2 linked regions of the Tamandua tetradactyla genome follow. The protein of the gene in region 1 purifies or fractionates together with the protein of each later gene. This does not show direct contact. Links are inferred from orthologs where the notes say so. Each region holds a gene or a part of one and is shown on either strand. Other genes may lie near its edges.

What was found. Proteins that work in one complex are often made in the same cells at the same time.
Region 2: the proteins of PTPN9 (region 1) and LZTR1 purify together in Homo sapiens (affinity purification with mass spectrometry; 3 studies listed by BioGRID and IntAct, with this or other methods). This does not show direct contact. The link is inferred for Tamandua tetradactyla from reciprocal best matches to the Homo sapiens genes PTPN9 and LZTR1.

What each region holds. Positions count from the first base shown.
Region 1 is NC_135338.1:66,378,007-66,385,143, forward strand, and holds the start of PTPN9 (tyrosine-protein phosphatase non-receptor type 9), read left to right. Parts: upstream 1-4,128; 5' UTR 4,129-4,827; coding exon 4,828-4,890; intron 4,891-7,137. UniProt on the Homo sapiens protein: Protein-tyrosine phosphatase that could participate in the transfer of hydrophobic ligands or in functions of the Golgi apparatus.
Region 2 is NC_135331.1:26,804,907-26,812,467, reverse strand, and holds the start of LZTR1 (leucine-zipper-like transcriptional regulator 1), read right to left. Parts: upstream 3,006-7,561; 5' UTR 2,694-3,005; coding exon 2,494-2,693; intron 2,055-2,493; coding exon 1,992-2,054; intron 1-1,991. Other genes in the region: AIFM3 (apoptosis-inducing factor 3), read right to left, coding at 3,875-3,914, 4,639-4,743, 5,224-5,299, 5,491-5,589, 6,385-6,502, 6,591-6,667, 6,779-6,842, 6,950-7,021 and 2 more. UniProt on the Homo sapiens protein: Substrate-specific adapter of a BCR (BTB-CUL3-RBX1) E3 ubiquitin-protein ligase complex that mediates ubiquitination of Ras (K-Ras/KRAS, N-Ras/NRAS and H-Ras/HRAS).

The sequences.
Region 1 (7,137 bases):
GTCACCAAACCTGTTTGGTATTCTTTGGCAAGAATTGGACCTTGTCTGATAGAAAAGGACCAATCCAATCATTCAGCAAACATTGACTGAGCACCATCTACTATGTGTTATATATTCTAAAGAAAGAGTGATGAATGAGACATGGTCCCTGCCCTCAGAGAGCTCATGGTCTAGTGGGAGAGACAGACAAGGAAGCAAATAATTATAATGCAGGGTGTTAAACTCAAGACGCAAATACTAGATGACAGGAGTAACATAGAATAGTGAGTGATTAACCAGTGATCTGGAAGTGGTGGGTAGGGGTGTCAAGTGAGAAAATTATGTTTGTTTGAAAAAGAGAAAGATTAGATTGTATATTTAAAAGAAAAAAAAAACAAGGCAGAGAATAGCCATAGGTAAGGAATGGTCCTTAGAGTAGTGGATAAAGAGGGAAATGTAATATATGTGGTAAAATTTCCCGCTTTCCCTCCAGAGCTAACTTTTAGCCATCCTAATGATAATAAATTTGGCCTAAGAGTAAATAAGAAAAAAATTTCTGGGCAGGCCACAGTGGCTCAGCAGGCAGGAATGCTTGCCTACGATGCTGGAGGACCCAGGTTCAATTCCCGGTGCCTATCCATGTTAAAAAAAAAAAGAAAAAAATTTCTCACTCTAAATGATGATTGGCAGTATGACCTTATCTTCTCTGGGTGTGTTTCTTAGAAAAATGGCAATAAGAATTGTTTGGATCTTTTATAGCCAATATACACATAGCACAACACACGTCTCATTCATAGACAGTAGATATTTTGGAGCAAGTTTGAGAGGAACTTTGGATTTTAGAAGTGAAGGTGTTTGGGGGCAAAGGTTACAAAGTCACAGTCACAGCTTTGGAAGTATCTTTACTCTTACACCTGAACAAATGTTTTAAGTCAAGAGAAAATGGTGAGGTAGAGGTCTAAGAGTTAAGGTGGCTAGTCTTCATTGGTTTCAGCCATTCAACACATATTTACTGTGTCTGCCTGCTCTGTACTAAACTACTATGTAGTAGGGACTAGGGATATCAGGGCTAAGGAGAGATGTGGGCCCTGCCTTTCTGGAGCTTACAGTCTAATAGAGCAGGCAGACACTGGGCCAACATACATAGAAACAAATGCATAAATGCTAATTATGATCAGTTTTCTGATAAAAATAAGAGAGAAAGCTGTGTAAGAGAGAGTAACAGGGAGTCTAATTCAGTTTGGAGAGTAGTTTAGGAAGATTTTCCTGAAGAAGTGACTTTTTTGAGCTGAGACTTACAGGGTGAGTCAGATTTGTCTGATGGAGGTAGGGGGAAAAGGGAGTATAGCTTTCTAGACAGAGACCTGAAACTCACACTTTAAAAGCAAGAAACAAAAGTATAACCCATAGCAAGGCTCCTTCTTTGTAATTTATTTTCCACTTTCAGATTGTGACCCTTACTGTTCATGTTAATTTAATAAAAATGTGGTTTTGTCTATCACCCACACTCCCCCAACTCTACTATAGCCTTCCCTCCTAGGCCCTGTAGCCAAGCATTCAAAAATGTAAGGAGGCTGTCTCAATCCATGTGAATCTACCTTATTTATTTTCTGTAAAATGAGAATCATAATTTCACTATCAGTATTTTAGTAGGATTAAATGAATGAAAGCTCTTTAGAATAGTATTTGGTACATGGTAACTCAATAAATGTCAACATATTATTTTAGTGCATGCATGTGCTATAATTTATTTATGGAGTTTGCTACTGATGGGCCAGTATGTTGTTTTCAATCTTTTGCTATCACAAAACATGGCTACAGTTGAACAGGATGACAGTACCATACTTGATTTCATTGGCCTGAAGTTAAGGGCAGGCCAGGTAGACTCCTTTGTCCTCTGGCTCTGAAATTTGCCACTCAGAGTGAATCCAACCAGCCAGCCAGCTAGCCAGCTTTGCCTTGAACTTGGTTTTGTTACCCATATCTCCATCAAAAGCTTCCAAGCATTAGCCTATTAGGGGTGTGATAGGCAACAGTTCCAGAGAACTGTTCCCTTACACACCCGCACGCCCACACACAGCTGTGCCTTTGAAAACACTGCTGAGTTCTCTCTCCCAACCCACTCAGTTAAAACTCTCCCTTTGTTAGTTCTCCTCTCTGAATCCCAGGCCTGGGAGTTGAACTTCTAGCTCAATATGAATTAATTAGCTGCATGACTTTGGATAAATCACTGATACTGGTGTCCTGGGGATCACTGGGCAAAGTAAGTACAAAAGTGTAAATATTGGGTTGAGAGACTCCATTCTCGCCTGTCTCCACTCAATGGTTTGCATTATTCAGGTCCTGCCATTTCTTACTCAAACTTAATCCTAGAACCATTTGCTGCCTGCTTAGGGGAAAAAGCTGTATTTGTTTAAAGTTACTATTGTTTTGAAAGTATACATCTGCATGCAATATTTAAACACATACACACAAGTAAGCCAAGTTAGAAGCCAATATAGTATTACCTTGAGGAGGGGCATACGGGGGCTTTGGCGTGTTGGTAATGTTCTATTTCTTGATCTGGGTGCTGGTTACATGTGTGTGTTTAATTTATGAAAATTCACCAAGCTGTACATGTTTGCTCTTTTCTGCATGTATATCATACTTCAATAAAAAGGAAAAAACAAACAAAATAAAACAAAAACAACCCAATAACCTTAAAATGTACAAAAGAGCATATGTGGAAAAGTCTCCCTCTCCTTTTCCCTGGACACACAGTTACACAGTTCCCCTCCTGTGAGGCAACCACTGTTACCTTTCTTGTGTATCCCTTCAAAGCTTTTCTGCATATAAATGAGTTTATGAATACATAGTCATTTTTTCTTTAGACAAATGACAGTATATTATGCACACTGTTCTGGGTCTGCCTTTTTTCACTTCATGATATAGCACAGGGATCATACCATATCCTTAGATAGGGAAGAGAGAGAACACTGTCAGGTTCGTTGTTGGAACTGCAGTGCATAACCCAGTGCTTGGCATATAAATATACTTGCTAAATAAAATAGACTCTTCCAGAGGAGTGGCTGGTTGCAATTCTGAAGCTGTAACTTCTCTATGGTATGATGAACTGAACCCAGAGTCAGCTTTACTGATGCAAAGGAGAAAATACCATACCTAAGATAAAAACATATGGAAGAACCAGGGGTTTCTTCTCTGCATCTCAGCTCACCTAGGTCAGCCAGAAGTTCCTATTGCACTGATGCAGAAAGAGGTGAGGTGAGAGGGTGCTTTTAAGGTACTAGACCCAACATCAGGACGAGAGCATTCTCCTCTTCTGTAGGACTGTCTCGGCAGGTTCCAGAGACCCAAGATCTGAAACAACAATGCTGGATGGGTTCAGTCCTTGGGACTGACTAGCTGCGGCATTCACTTTTTCATTGTCCTTTTTGGAATATTTACCTTTGGTCTGGAATGAAGCAAAATCATTCCAGACCCAGCCCTGCCTTCCCTGTGCCCTCCCAGCTATCCCAAGCTGATCCCAAGACCGTACCCTGTAATCCTGAACACTGTAAAACCCCCCAACTTTTTGTGGCATTTGCCTGGATAGAAGAAATCAAAGGTTTGCAAAGGCTGCATGATTCCTGAATGAGATTTGAAGTCGGATGCTATTTTTATGAGGGGCTAAAATTAGCTAGACTGATGATGGATTACAGGATATATCCAGTAAGGAGTGAGATGGAGCTGCGATTAGCTGCGCTTATTCTTTCCACCTGAGCATCATGACCCCTAAGCAACCTTTACAGGGTCTTTCAGTCTGCAAGTGGCGTGGAAACAGATGTAGGTACCTCACAGGTAGGTGGAAGCCGCAAGTTAATAACAGCCCAAGGTGTCGGTCACCAGATAATTCGGATGTATTCAGTTCCTCCTCTAAAGAATTTAACTTCGTATAAATCCCACATTTCTTCCTATTCCTCTCTCTTGCAGACCAAAGTCTCCTTTCCTTTAGGCCCGCAGCCCCTCTCCTGCACCGAGTTCCTCTTGTTTTCCCCTTCCCCTGGCGCCTCTCCTTCTCCTCCCTCGTCCCCGGGCTCGTCTCTTCCCCTTCCCCCCTCCTCGGGCTCCCCTTCTCCTCCTCCCCCTCCCTGGGCTCCTCTATGTCTCCCCCTCCCGGACGGCGTCCTTGCACCGCCGGGCCTCGTCGCCGCCTGTTTGTGAATGAGACGCTCAGTTTCTCAATGGAGCCGCGGGGGGCTCGGGCGGTCGCGGTGCGGCCTCAGCGTTGGCCGTGAGCCGGGAGGGGGGCGCGTTTTCCTCCGTCGCTCCCAGTGGTTACCTCCGCAGCTTCTGAGGAACGAGGTTGAGAGGCGGCCGCGCTGGTCGCGGGGGCCCGCATCTCCGAGGACGCCCGGACCGGCGGCCTCCAGGCTCCGTCACGTTCTGGAGGAGCGGACGTTCCGCGGAGGAAGCGGGGCCCCGAGAAGGCCGGCGGCCTTTGCGAAATTTCCGCCGCGGACCCTTAGCTCTGCTCCTTAAAAGTTATTTCCCAATTCCTTTTTAAATCGCGATTGACTACAATCTCCTCGCCTACACTTCTTTTTTTTTTTTTCTGGGAGAGGAGTGTAAGGAAAAGAGCGAAGAAAATAAAAAAAGGATTTCCGCCCAGGAGAGCGCGAGAGATCTGAGACATTTTTCTTAAAAGAAGCGGCGTTTGCGGTGGCTGCGGGCGCCGGGGCCCCGCCGTCCGGACCATGAGCGAGCCGGCCTCGGGCTGCTGAGGCGCGGGGACGCGGAAGCGGAGAAGGAGGACGCCCCGCGCTCCCGGGCGAGTTCTGTCGGCCGGGCGGCTGCGGCGGCGGCGGCTGGATGGAGCCTGCGACCGCGCCCCGGCCGGACATGGCGCCGGAGCTGACCCCGGAGGAGGAGCAGGTAAGCGGGACTGCAGCAGCGGTGGTGGGTGTGTCCGGGCCCCCTAGGCCTAGGCCGGCCCAGCCTCCTGAAGCCAAGCTCTGTGGCAGCGGCTCAGGCCCCGCAGCGCCCCCGCTCCCGCGCTGGGCGCATGGGGTGGTCTTTCCCCCGGCGACCGCACCCTAGGTCGTCATCCACCGAAACGGAGGGGCGCCGCTGGATCTTGCCCCAGACCCCTGCCTTGTCTACCCCCGAGGCTTACGGGCCTCATTTACCCTCACCGCCCCCCTCACTCCCATCCCGGTGGTAATTAAAGTTCCTTGAACTGGGGCGCCTCCCTTTCCCTCTGCTTTCTCCTCCCCACCCCCGCCCTATACGTTTGCTAGGAAGAGCCGGTAACTCCCTTTGCAGAACACCTCCTTGCTCCCGACCCTTCCACGCCCCATGAATGTTTTCCTTCTTTCCGTCAGGGTTTATGGTTTTTTGAGGGCAGAAAAAGCCCCAGTTTGGGGGGAGGGTGTCCTCTGGAGATTATTTCCTTTTCCGAGGAGAGTGATGATAGGCATTGATTGGGTACATAGATGCTCTAGATTTTCAAATAAGCTCCTCAGGCTTTCTCAGAGGGCTGTGGCAGGCCTTCCCGGTCAGATCCTGGAAGATCCTGGCCTTCCTAGGCTCCTGAAGGCCCTGGCCCGGGCACATCCCCTCATCCCACTTTTCTGCTGTTATTTCGAAATATCTTGACTGCCTCCATCTTTCTGAAGCCTGCATTGAGCTCCATTGTCCCTTAAAGCTTATGACCTTCAGTCCCCATAAGGAAGTGGTTTGGTGGTATCATTTTGCGGGCTTGGGTAAAGGAAAAGCCCAGGACCCTTTTAACTTTCCATCCCCCACATTCCAGCTGTGGAGACACAGATCACTCCTTCTGAAGAAGATAGGAAAGTCTGTTAGCTTGGGAACCTTAAAGGCTTTTTGCGGTATCTTCTTTGGGCCTGCTCGTACCCAGCTTTAGCTATGCACAAATATAGCCATAGTATGAAACAAAAAACATATTAAAAAACAAAAAAGCAACAAAAAATAAAAAGATGAACCAGACTAGTAACCAGTTTTGTGCTCTCCAGCCCTTACTCCCAAGGACCGCATTTGCTAGCACAATCTCTGGCATGGAGACCATCTGGTTTTACAAACTAATATTGGTTAATGGGCTTCTTTAAGATTTGCTTTATGTATATATAAAACCTTGACTTTTCTTCTTATTTGTGGAGATGACATTTTTCATATCTGGCCTCAGATCTTGCCTTTTGATCAGCCTGGAGATAAAATCAGCATGGGGAAAAAACAACAACCTTGCTCTATGCAAGCAGTGGTAACATCCTGATAACTGCAGTTGAGTGTTAATGACATACTAGTCAGGACCCACTGCAAGCAGGTGGTCTGGGATACCATCCTGCCAGAACTATTGAAATACTTCAGTATTAACACATAATGTGTTAGGTTGATTTTAATGGGGCAAATCTCATTCATCTTTTTTTTTCTTGGGTTAGTTAGGTTTGAAGTTTCTTTGTGGCTAAGACTTAAAGGTAGCAGTATCCTTCAGTGAAAGTGGCATTAGGTTGCAAATTAAAATATTAAAACCAGAAAAGTAAATATCAAAATATGGATGAAGATATTAACTTGGCTTTACTCTGTTTTTAGCCTGTATACTTATATACACTTCTGTTATTTAATAAAATCCTTTCGCATTCGAATGCGTGCAATAGGCATTAAAAAGGACTGCATTAAAATAGTGAAATATTTATATATTAAGGTCAAGAGGTTGTGTGTGTGTGTATGAGTGTGTTTGAATCTTACCTTTTGTTTTCTACAAAAGGCCAGGTTTCTACAAGCATTTCAAAATGATGACACACAAATATAAAAGCAGCATAGTTCTGATAATGGTAAGGCCTCATGTTCTCATCTTTTAGTTTAATATCACATAACTATTAAGATTCCATTAAAATATTTAAGCTAAACAGCAAATATGTGTTAGCCTCATCAAAGTAGTCATCATGGGAAATGATACTGTCATTCCATAATGCTGCCCCATTTCTCAAACAATTTTAGAACTCATTTGTAGTCACTTTCAAAACTTGTGACAGAGTCTGAAACATTTTCAGTGTTGGAAAGTCCTTGTACTTTTAAGAGTCAATTTTATTTTTGGAAATAGCAAAAAATCTTTTGAAATCTTATTTCATAAATAAGGTGGGCTATCAGACAGTTTCAGGCAAA
Region 2 (7,561 bases), on another chromosome or scaffold:
GAGGACAGGCAGCTAGGTGATCCCACCTGCAGCCCCCACACCCCCCAGGCCATTTTCCTTTGTACCCAGCTAGCCTTACAAAGTTGCAGCTCAAAATAAAGATACATTTGTATCCTTTTTTCTGAGTGTCACATTATAGCAAGCATGTTTCTGCTCCTTGCACAAAACTCTAATGTCTAAAGGACTGGCACCCCTGTACCCCACTTCCACTGCCCAGGGTGGGCACTGCAGCTTTCTATGGTTTGGGGGGGGGGATTCTCCTTAAAGTGCCAATAAATGCCTGCAGACCCTGAAATATCATTTATTCCTCGTCTGGGCCATGGGGTGCCATGCACAAAGTACCACCCTGCGTCGGTGGAGCTGACATTCCAGCAAGGAGGATGGAGGGGTTGGAAGGGGCTGGGAGGCCATTCAAGGCCTTGCTCCTGAGCTGCACAGAGGAGGGCAGGGGAAGGAGGGACAGGGGTAGGCCGGGTGGACACCTTGAGGGAAAAGCATTCCAGGCAGAGGGGAACAGCCAATGCAAAGGCCTCAGACAGGACGGTGCTCGGCACAATCAAAACGCAGTATGGCAGCTGGTGCAGCTACAGTGCAGCAAAGGGATGTGTGAGAGAGGCAAGAGCAGAGGACCTCAGGAATTGCTACAAAGATTTTGGCTTTTACTCCAAGGAAGGCAGGAAGGTATCTCAGGGTTGTGAGCTGGGGAGGGATGCGCTGTGGCTTGCATTTTTAAACGGGTCTCTCTTGCTGCTCATGTGGGGAGATGGGGTGGAAGCCAGGAGCCCCCCAAGTCAGCTCCCTGGGGGAGCCCTGAAAGACCTAGGCATGCAGTGCCAATCAGGTCCTGGGGCTGAAAGGTGGGAGCAGGACTCAAGGGCAGGATCGGCTGCAAAAACTCTCCCTCCTCTGTGCTGGGCCTCATGGCCACATGCTCCCTGACCCTTGGGGGTGTCAGCAGGACAGCTACCGCCCCACAGACAGAGGAAGCCAAAGCACACTTGGCGTGGTTACGCTTCCTGCCTGACCCCCAAGCCACAAGGCTCTAATTTGAGCTGAGCCCTGCCCATCCAACAGACTAAGCTTCAGCCCCGCCTCTGGGTGACTCCCATCCTTGCCCAGATTCCTGGTGTCCTTGGGCTTTTCTCCTGAGCACGACGAATGAATGGATGAGTTAGGGAAGGGGGGAAGGCCCTGTGTGGTCATCGGGCCTTGCCACACTGTTCCTGACCTATCCTCTCTCTGCCTGGAAGTCCCTTCCCTCCTTTGCCTGCCTCCTAAAACTTAGTAGCCTGCCTACTAATTTTTCAGGTCATCATCCCTTCTGGTAAGATTTCCCTAACCAAATCAGAACTCTACTTCCCTTGCCCAGAACAGCACCCCCACCCAGTAAGTGACATGGCCCAGCACACGCTGAGACAAGCTCCTCTCTCTTCAAAGGTCCAGCTCCCGAGGTAGGCAGTGGCTACATAAGGCAAAGATTTCCCTTTGCTGTGATCGTTTACTAAGGAAAACTGGCCGCATTGTAGGAGGGGTGCAGAGGTGTCCCACCAACAGGACCTCAGATCACTGCCAGGAAGGCTACTTGCCGGGAGTTTATAACAACGTAGGAAGATCCTCACCGAAAGTGAAAAATGCAGGAAATAAAGCCGTGTCCTCTGTGCCTTCTCAGCTGCAACATGTGCTGCTGGGCAAGTCCCAGAGGGAGGGCAGGGAAGGAAAACTACCTGGTGGGGAGGTGACAGCAAGGGCCTACATGGTCCTTTCAAAGCTGTGTCTACTCGCCCAGAACAAGGGGACATTTCTGTGTACTGAGCCTGTATCCCTACTGCATGTGTGTTGCTGGCCTAGGGACAGGCTCTCATTTTATTCTCACCAGGATCTGGGAGGCGGGGCATCACAGATGGGGAGTTGAGCCTTAGCTGAACCCCAAAAGACAGGAGCTCATCCCTGACCACCATGCACCCCCCGCAGTGGTCCCCACACGTCCTCACCCATTGTCTCCACCAAATACGTAGATGGCATCTTTATAAGCCACCACTGTGTGCTTGCTGCGCCTGGAAGAAAAGATGGGGTGGGAGTGGGGGGGGATCGTAAAGTCGGACCCTCCTGGAGGGGGGAGCATCCAAAGGATGAGACCAAGCTAGAAGCCTGCTCCCAAAGTGGGGTAACCCCTCTCACCTTCCTACACCTACTGAGGACCCTAAATTCCACCTGCACCCCCAAATGTAAGGGGCTCCCTGGACCTCCCCACCCTGCCGCAGATCACCCAGGGTCCCAGACCAGACACCCCGAAGCCTGCGCCGTCGGACCCTGCCCTGGGGTCACTTCGTTCTGGGGTCCCCCTCGGCGTCCCCTCCCAGCCCTGGACCCCCTTCCCCCACCCCTCCCCCAAAGACCAGACCCTGCCCCCCGGGACATCAGGTCCAGGCCTCGCCCCTGCGACCCCTTCAGACCACCGTCCGCCCCCAAGGACCCCCCTGATCCCGCCCGTACCGAGCGCCCACGAACTCGTCGCAGGGCGGGAGGCGCCGCCAGCGATGCACTGTCTCAAAAGGCCCGAAGTTGAGCGTCAGGTACTCCACGCTGTCGGAGCAGCTGTGATCGAAGTCCACGCTCGGGGCCACCTTGGACCGCGCGCCGCCGGCCAGGGCCCCGGTCCCGATCGGGACCCCCGAGACGCCGGGCCCAGCCATCCCGGGTCGGCGGGATGTGCGGCCACCGCCCGGGTCCACTCGACGGGACTACATTTTCCGGCTCGCCCTGCGCCCACGGCGCGACACTTCCGGCCGGCGCTACCGCACTTCCGGACAGGCCTAGCTGGGCTTGGACACCACGGACGGGCGCGGCACTGGGCTGCGGCCGGGTCTTCCCTGCGACCGTGTGCGGCAGCCTTCCGGCGAAGTACGGGCGCCCGAGACCCGCTTCTAGTGAACGCGGAGCCTCCGCCGCCAGCCCTGTGTGCCTACACTTCCCCGGAGCCCGCCAGGCCCCCGCCGCGGAGGGTCTGCAGTTTCCGGTGTCCCACGCCCTAGACCTTCCGCCGCTCCCGGCATCCCGGAGGGAAGGTTCCGGCCTCACAGCGGCCCCCCCGGCCCCGTGGTCTCCCCTTTGTGTTCTCGTTGGCTCGGGGGCAGCATGGAGCAGCGAAAAGAGCAGGGCCTCTGGATTCCCATTCTTCCTCTGCCATCTACTGGCAGGGTCCCAGAAAACGGAATCTGTCCCAGGATCAGTTCCTGCAGCCCTAGGTGGCAGGTGCCCCCCAAACTGCCAGACATGAGTCTCCCTCTGACCTCTGAAGAAGCATTTCCTTTCTTGAGCCCTCGGCACTCCCCTCTGCCTGGACTGACCTTCCTTCAAAAATCTCCACTCTTTGGGAGAAGCTTTTCCTGACCCCGCAGGCAGAATCAGTTGCTAGCTCCTCTGGGCGCCCCTCAAGCCAAACTTCTTTGGTGAGGCACTGAGAAGTCTGGGGGTGTGCCTGTGTCTTCCCGTGGAGAGCCATGTCCGCTTCTTCCCCCATGAGTGTTTCCCCAATCACACTGGGGGTCACACAGATCTGCAAATGTGTGCATTTTTTATTTTAACGTAATATCTGAGACGTCAAAAGGTCCCGGAGGGGACCAGACCCAAGAGAGGGAGAAGAGGCAGGCCCTGTCCCAACTCCTGTGCCAGCCATCTGTGGCAGCAGAGGCCAGCAGAGGAGAGCCAGGGCATCTCTGGACAGCAGAGACTAGGCAAGGGGAAGGCAAGCGATGGAAGGGATCGAGTTCTGTCCTGGGAGATCCTGGGAAATTGGGAAGTTGGCACCTTCCCCAGGACTTGGCTTCTGTCCCCCGAACCCCGGCCCTCCTGCCCAAGTCTCCTGCATGCGAGCTCAGGAGCCCTTCCCCGTGAGCCAGGACATGTCGCCGGTCCTGCAGGAACAAAAGGAAGAGGAATGAGAGCAGAAAATGAGAGGGTCTCCCACTTTGGGCACCACAAGTAGCTGGCCCTTGAAGACAGCCTGGGGCCTGCTCCATGCCAGGCCTGGTGCCCAGCAGAGGTGTGTACTTGGACAGAGAAGGTAGACCAGAACCCCCTCCGGGAAGGCTCAGAACCCTCAACAGAAAGGACAAAGAAAGACAAACGTACTTGCTGTGCAGCACAAACAGCCTTCGTGAAGGCAAGAGGAAGAGAGAGAGAAGGCCAGGAAGAGGGGATGTCATTCATTGCATCCCCTCTTGGTTCTCATTTCCAAGCTCAGGCCATACACCCCCACGCCCCTCATCCCTGCCCAGTGGCCCCTATCCTCCCCCCACTTCAAGCTTTCCCCAGTCCCTGGGGCTTCTCAGAAGGCACAGGTTGATTCCTATCTGCATTGTGCTAGAGATGTGGGGAGGGGTAGTGGCTGGTGTCCAGAGTCTGCCATGGGTCCCAGGACAGATGACAGTCCAAGAAATGGGCCTTGTCCCATCCCAGAGCCCTGGCTCTGCCCTGGGACACAGCCCTCCCTTTTCCACATCTCCCCCATGAGCACATTTCCCGCTCGGCTCCCAAGCCACAGCCATGCCCCATAGCCCCATCCTGCCCTGAGGCGTGGGAGCTGTGACGGGGCCCCCCTTGTTCTCCCCACCCCAAGGCCTCCATGCCCATACTCACTCCACCTCCCGCTTCCGGATGGCTCGGCCAGAAGCCAGCACCTCGGCCACCTTGGACACAATGGGGTCATAGTTCATGCTGGCCACAGCAATGACCTCATCGCCTCTGTAGGTAGACAATGGCCGGACCTGAGCACTGTCCCACGAGCATCCCCTCCAGTTCCCAAAGGACCCTGACTGACCCTTGTCCACCCAGAGCCCAGGGAGGGGCATGTTCCAAGCATGCAGCTCTCCTGCTTCAGGGCTCCCCTGGGACCCCCATGGAGGCTCCTGGCTTCCTCCTGGGCCTGGCTCCTGTCCTAGAGTCACCATTCTCTCCCTGCTGTCACTTGGGGTGGGGTGTCAACACCTGCCTGGAAGAGCTGTCCTGAAGGTCGAGTGCCGGGCCTCCAGATAGCTATAGGCAACCATTACCCCTGCCTCGTGGCCTTCCTTCTGCAGGACTCCTGCCTCACTTATGTCCACCCCCTTTGCCCCTGGCTCCAGCCATGGGCTGCACCTTCCGGGTAAACCCCCCACTTCTGGAGCACACCTTGTCCCGGAGGAGGCCCCCCTTCCTGACCCATCTCCCGTCCGTTGCACTCACTTGGTGTAAAAGGCCACGAACTTCAGCTCCTCCAGGTCCCCCTGGATGATGACGTCATCGAAGCCTTCCCCATAGCCTGTGGGCCACGTGGAGGGGGTGGGGCTTCTCAGGATCGGGGCCCCGCCCCCTCTCAGGCCCCACCCCCAGCACGGTCCTAGCTGGTGTTTGCTAGTTCTGTCGTGACCCCACCCCCAGATCCTCAGCCCCACCTCCAGGTCCTAGGCTCCGCCCTCAATGCCCAAGCCCCACCCCCAGGCCCTCGGTCACCTGTGTAGCGCAGGCTCTTGCCGAACATGGCCGTCCAGAGGTAGGGGACAGTACTGATCTCTGCCTCCTGTGCCAGCATGTTCTGGGCTGCCACACGACCTGGGGGATCCAGGCCCATGAGATGCCCCCCAGCCTCACTTTCCCTCCTCCCCCTCCACCACTGCCTGACCTGAGCGCCCCCACAGCTCTCTCTCCCCCCCATTGTGGCTCAGCTCACTGCCCACCCACTGTTGCAGCTGGGAGGGGGCACCTGGCTCAAAGCTAACCCATTCCATTCCTTCCCTGCATGGAGAATCTGAATTGAGGTGCCCTGGGGTCCTGTCTACTGTGTACCTGACCAACCAGCCATGTCAGGCTTGAAGAGGGGGACAGATAACAGCACCGAGGGCCCCAGAGAGAGTGGCCATGGGTGGCTGCCCCGCTTCTGCAGGGGTGCTCTGTTGACAGTTCCATAAGCCTCCCAGGAAAACCCTTATGATGCATGACTGATGAGTAGCCTCTATTTCCTTCCAACCTGGCCATAGATCTCGGACTCAGACAGAACTGGTACCAGGAGTGGGGTTCCTGGCAGCCGATACTCCAAAAATGTCAAGACAGAGGGAAGAAGAGGTGGGTGCAGGGTGGAGTCCCCTGTCCCAGGGGTGGAAGGGAGTCTTGGGGTCCTCCCTATGAGGCAGTGAGATGGCTAACTTGCTGGCACTTGCATCTTAAGGGACCCCTGCAGGTGCACATGGCAGGTGTGGCTTGGGGGGGGGCTTGTGTGGGGCAGGGAAAGCTCTTCCTCGGGGGTGCTCGACAGCTTCTAGTGACCGGCTCCCAATGGCCACTTCCCAGGGGCCTGAGCCAAGCCCCTTAGGACCCACCACCTTTTCTCCAGGGCCAGCCATACTCTACCCTGCATGTGAGCCATCTGCCAGTGTGGGATGTTCACTTTCCGGTTGTTTCTCCATGCCAGGGGGAAGGTGACGGCGTCACCAGCCGCAAACACGCCAGGGACATTGGTCTGCATCATCTGTGTCAGGAGACAGGGCCCAGAGCTCCATGGCAGGGTCAGGGGCCCCAGCCTGGACCTCCTACCCAGGGCAGAGCCCAGCACCCACCTTGTTGACGGGGATGTAGCCCCGAGAGTCCAGACAGATGCCACTCTGCCTCAGGAAGCTGGTGGCAGGCACGGCGCCTTGGCAGGGCAGGACACGAGTGGGCAGTGGGCACCGGAAAATGCCCCCCATTTGATAGAGGTGACACTGAGCCTGTCCCACTCCTCCCCCCCCACCCAGCCCGCACTCACCAATGCCCACCACACACACATCAGCCCGGATGATCTTGTTGCTTTTTAGCATCACTTCCTTCAGCTGGGGACAGCAGGTGGGGTGAGCAGGTGGCCCAGGGCAGAAGGGACAGTGAGAGCTGGGTGGCTGGCAGGGGGGGGCATGATGGGACGCGGGTGGCAGGGACCCACCTTCCCCTCGTGGGCCCGCAGCTCAGACACCTCTGTCTGCATGTAGAACTTCACCCGGTTGTTCTCGAACATCTGCCAGGTGGGGGCAGGTGGGCCAGGGGCTGGGCATGGGGGTGAGGGTGGGGGGATCCAAGGGGCCTAGGAGCTGGGCAGGGGGGAGGGGGTGTTGGGGCTCACCTTCATGAGGGCGCGCCCCACACGCTCCCCCAAAAACCTCTTGAAAGGTGTCTCCTCCAGTTCCACCACAGACACCGAGTGCGCCTTCTCTGTCAGGTAGGAGGCCACCTCCATTCCTGGGGGGGTTGGGGGAGCGGCAAAGGGACAGCAGGGAGTGTGGGGGGGGCTGGCACCCTGCACCTCCAGGGCTGGCAATCTCTTTCCCCACCCCCGCCTCCATCCCGCGATGCCACCCACCCAGGAAGCCAGCACCCACGACGACTGCGTTCCGGTCCCGAGCCAGCCTGCCCACACGATTGGCATCCTCAGGTGTCCTGATGGTCACCACATTCTCCACCTCTTTACCTTTACAGCTCAGGGTCTTGGGACTGAGATGGGACAACCCTCCCCAGGGGTCAGCAAGGGGGTCCCCCAGCAGCTGAGCTCTCTCAGGCT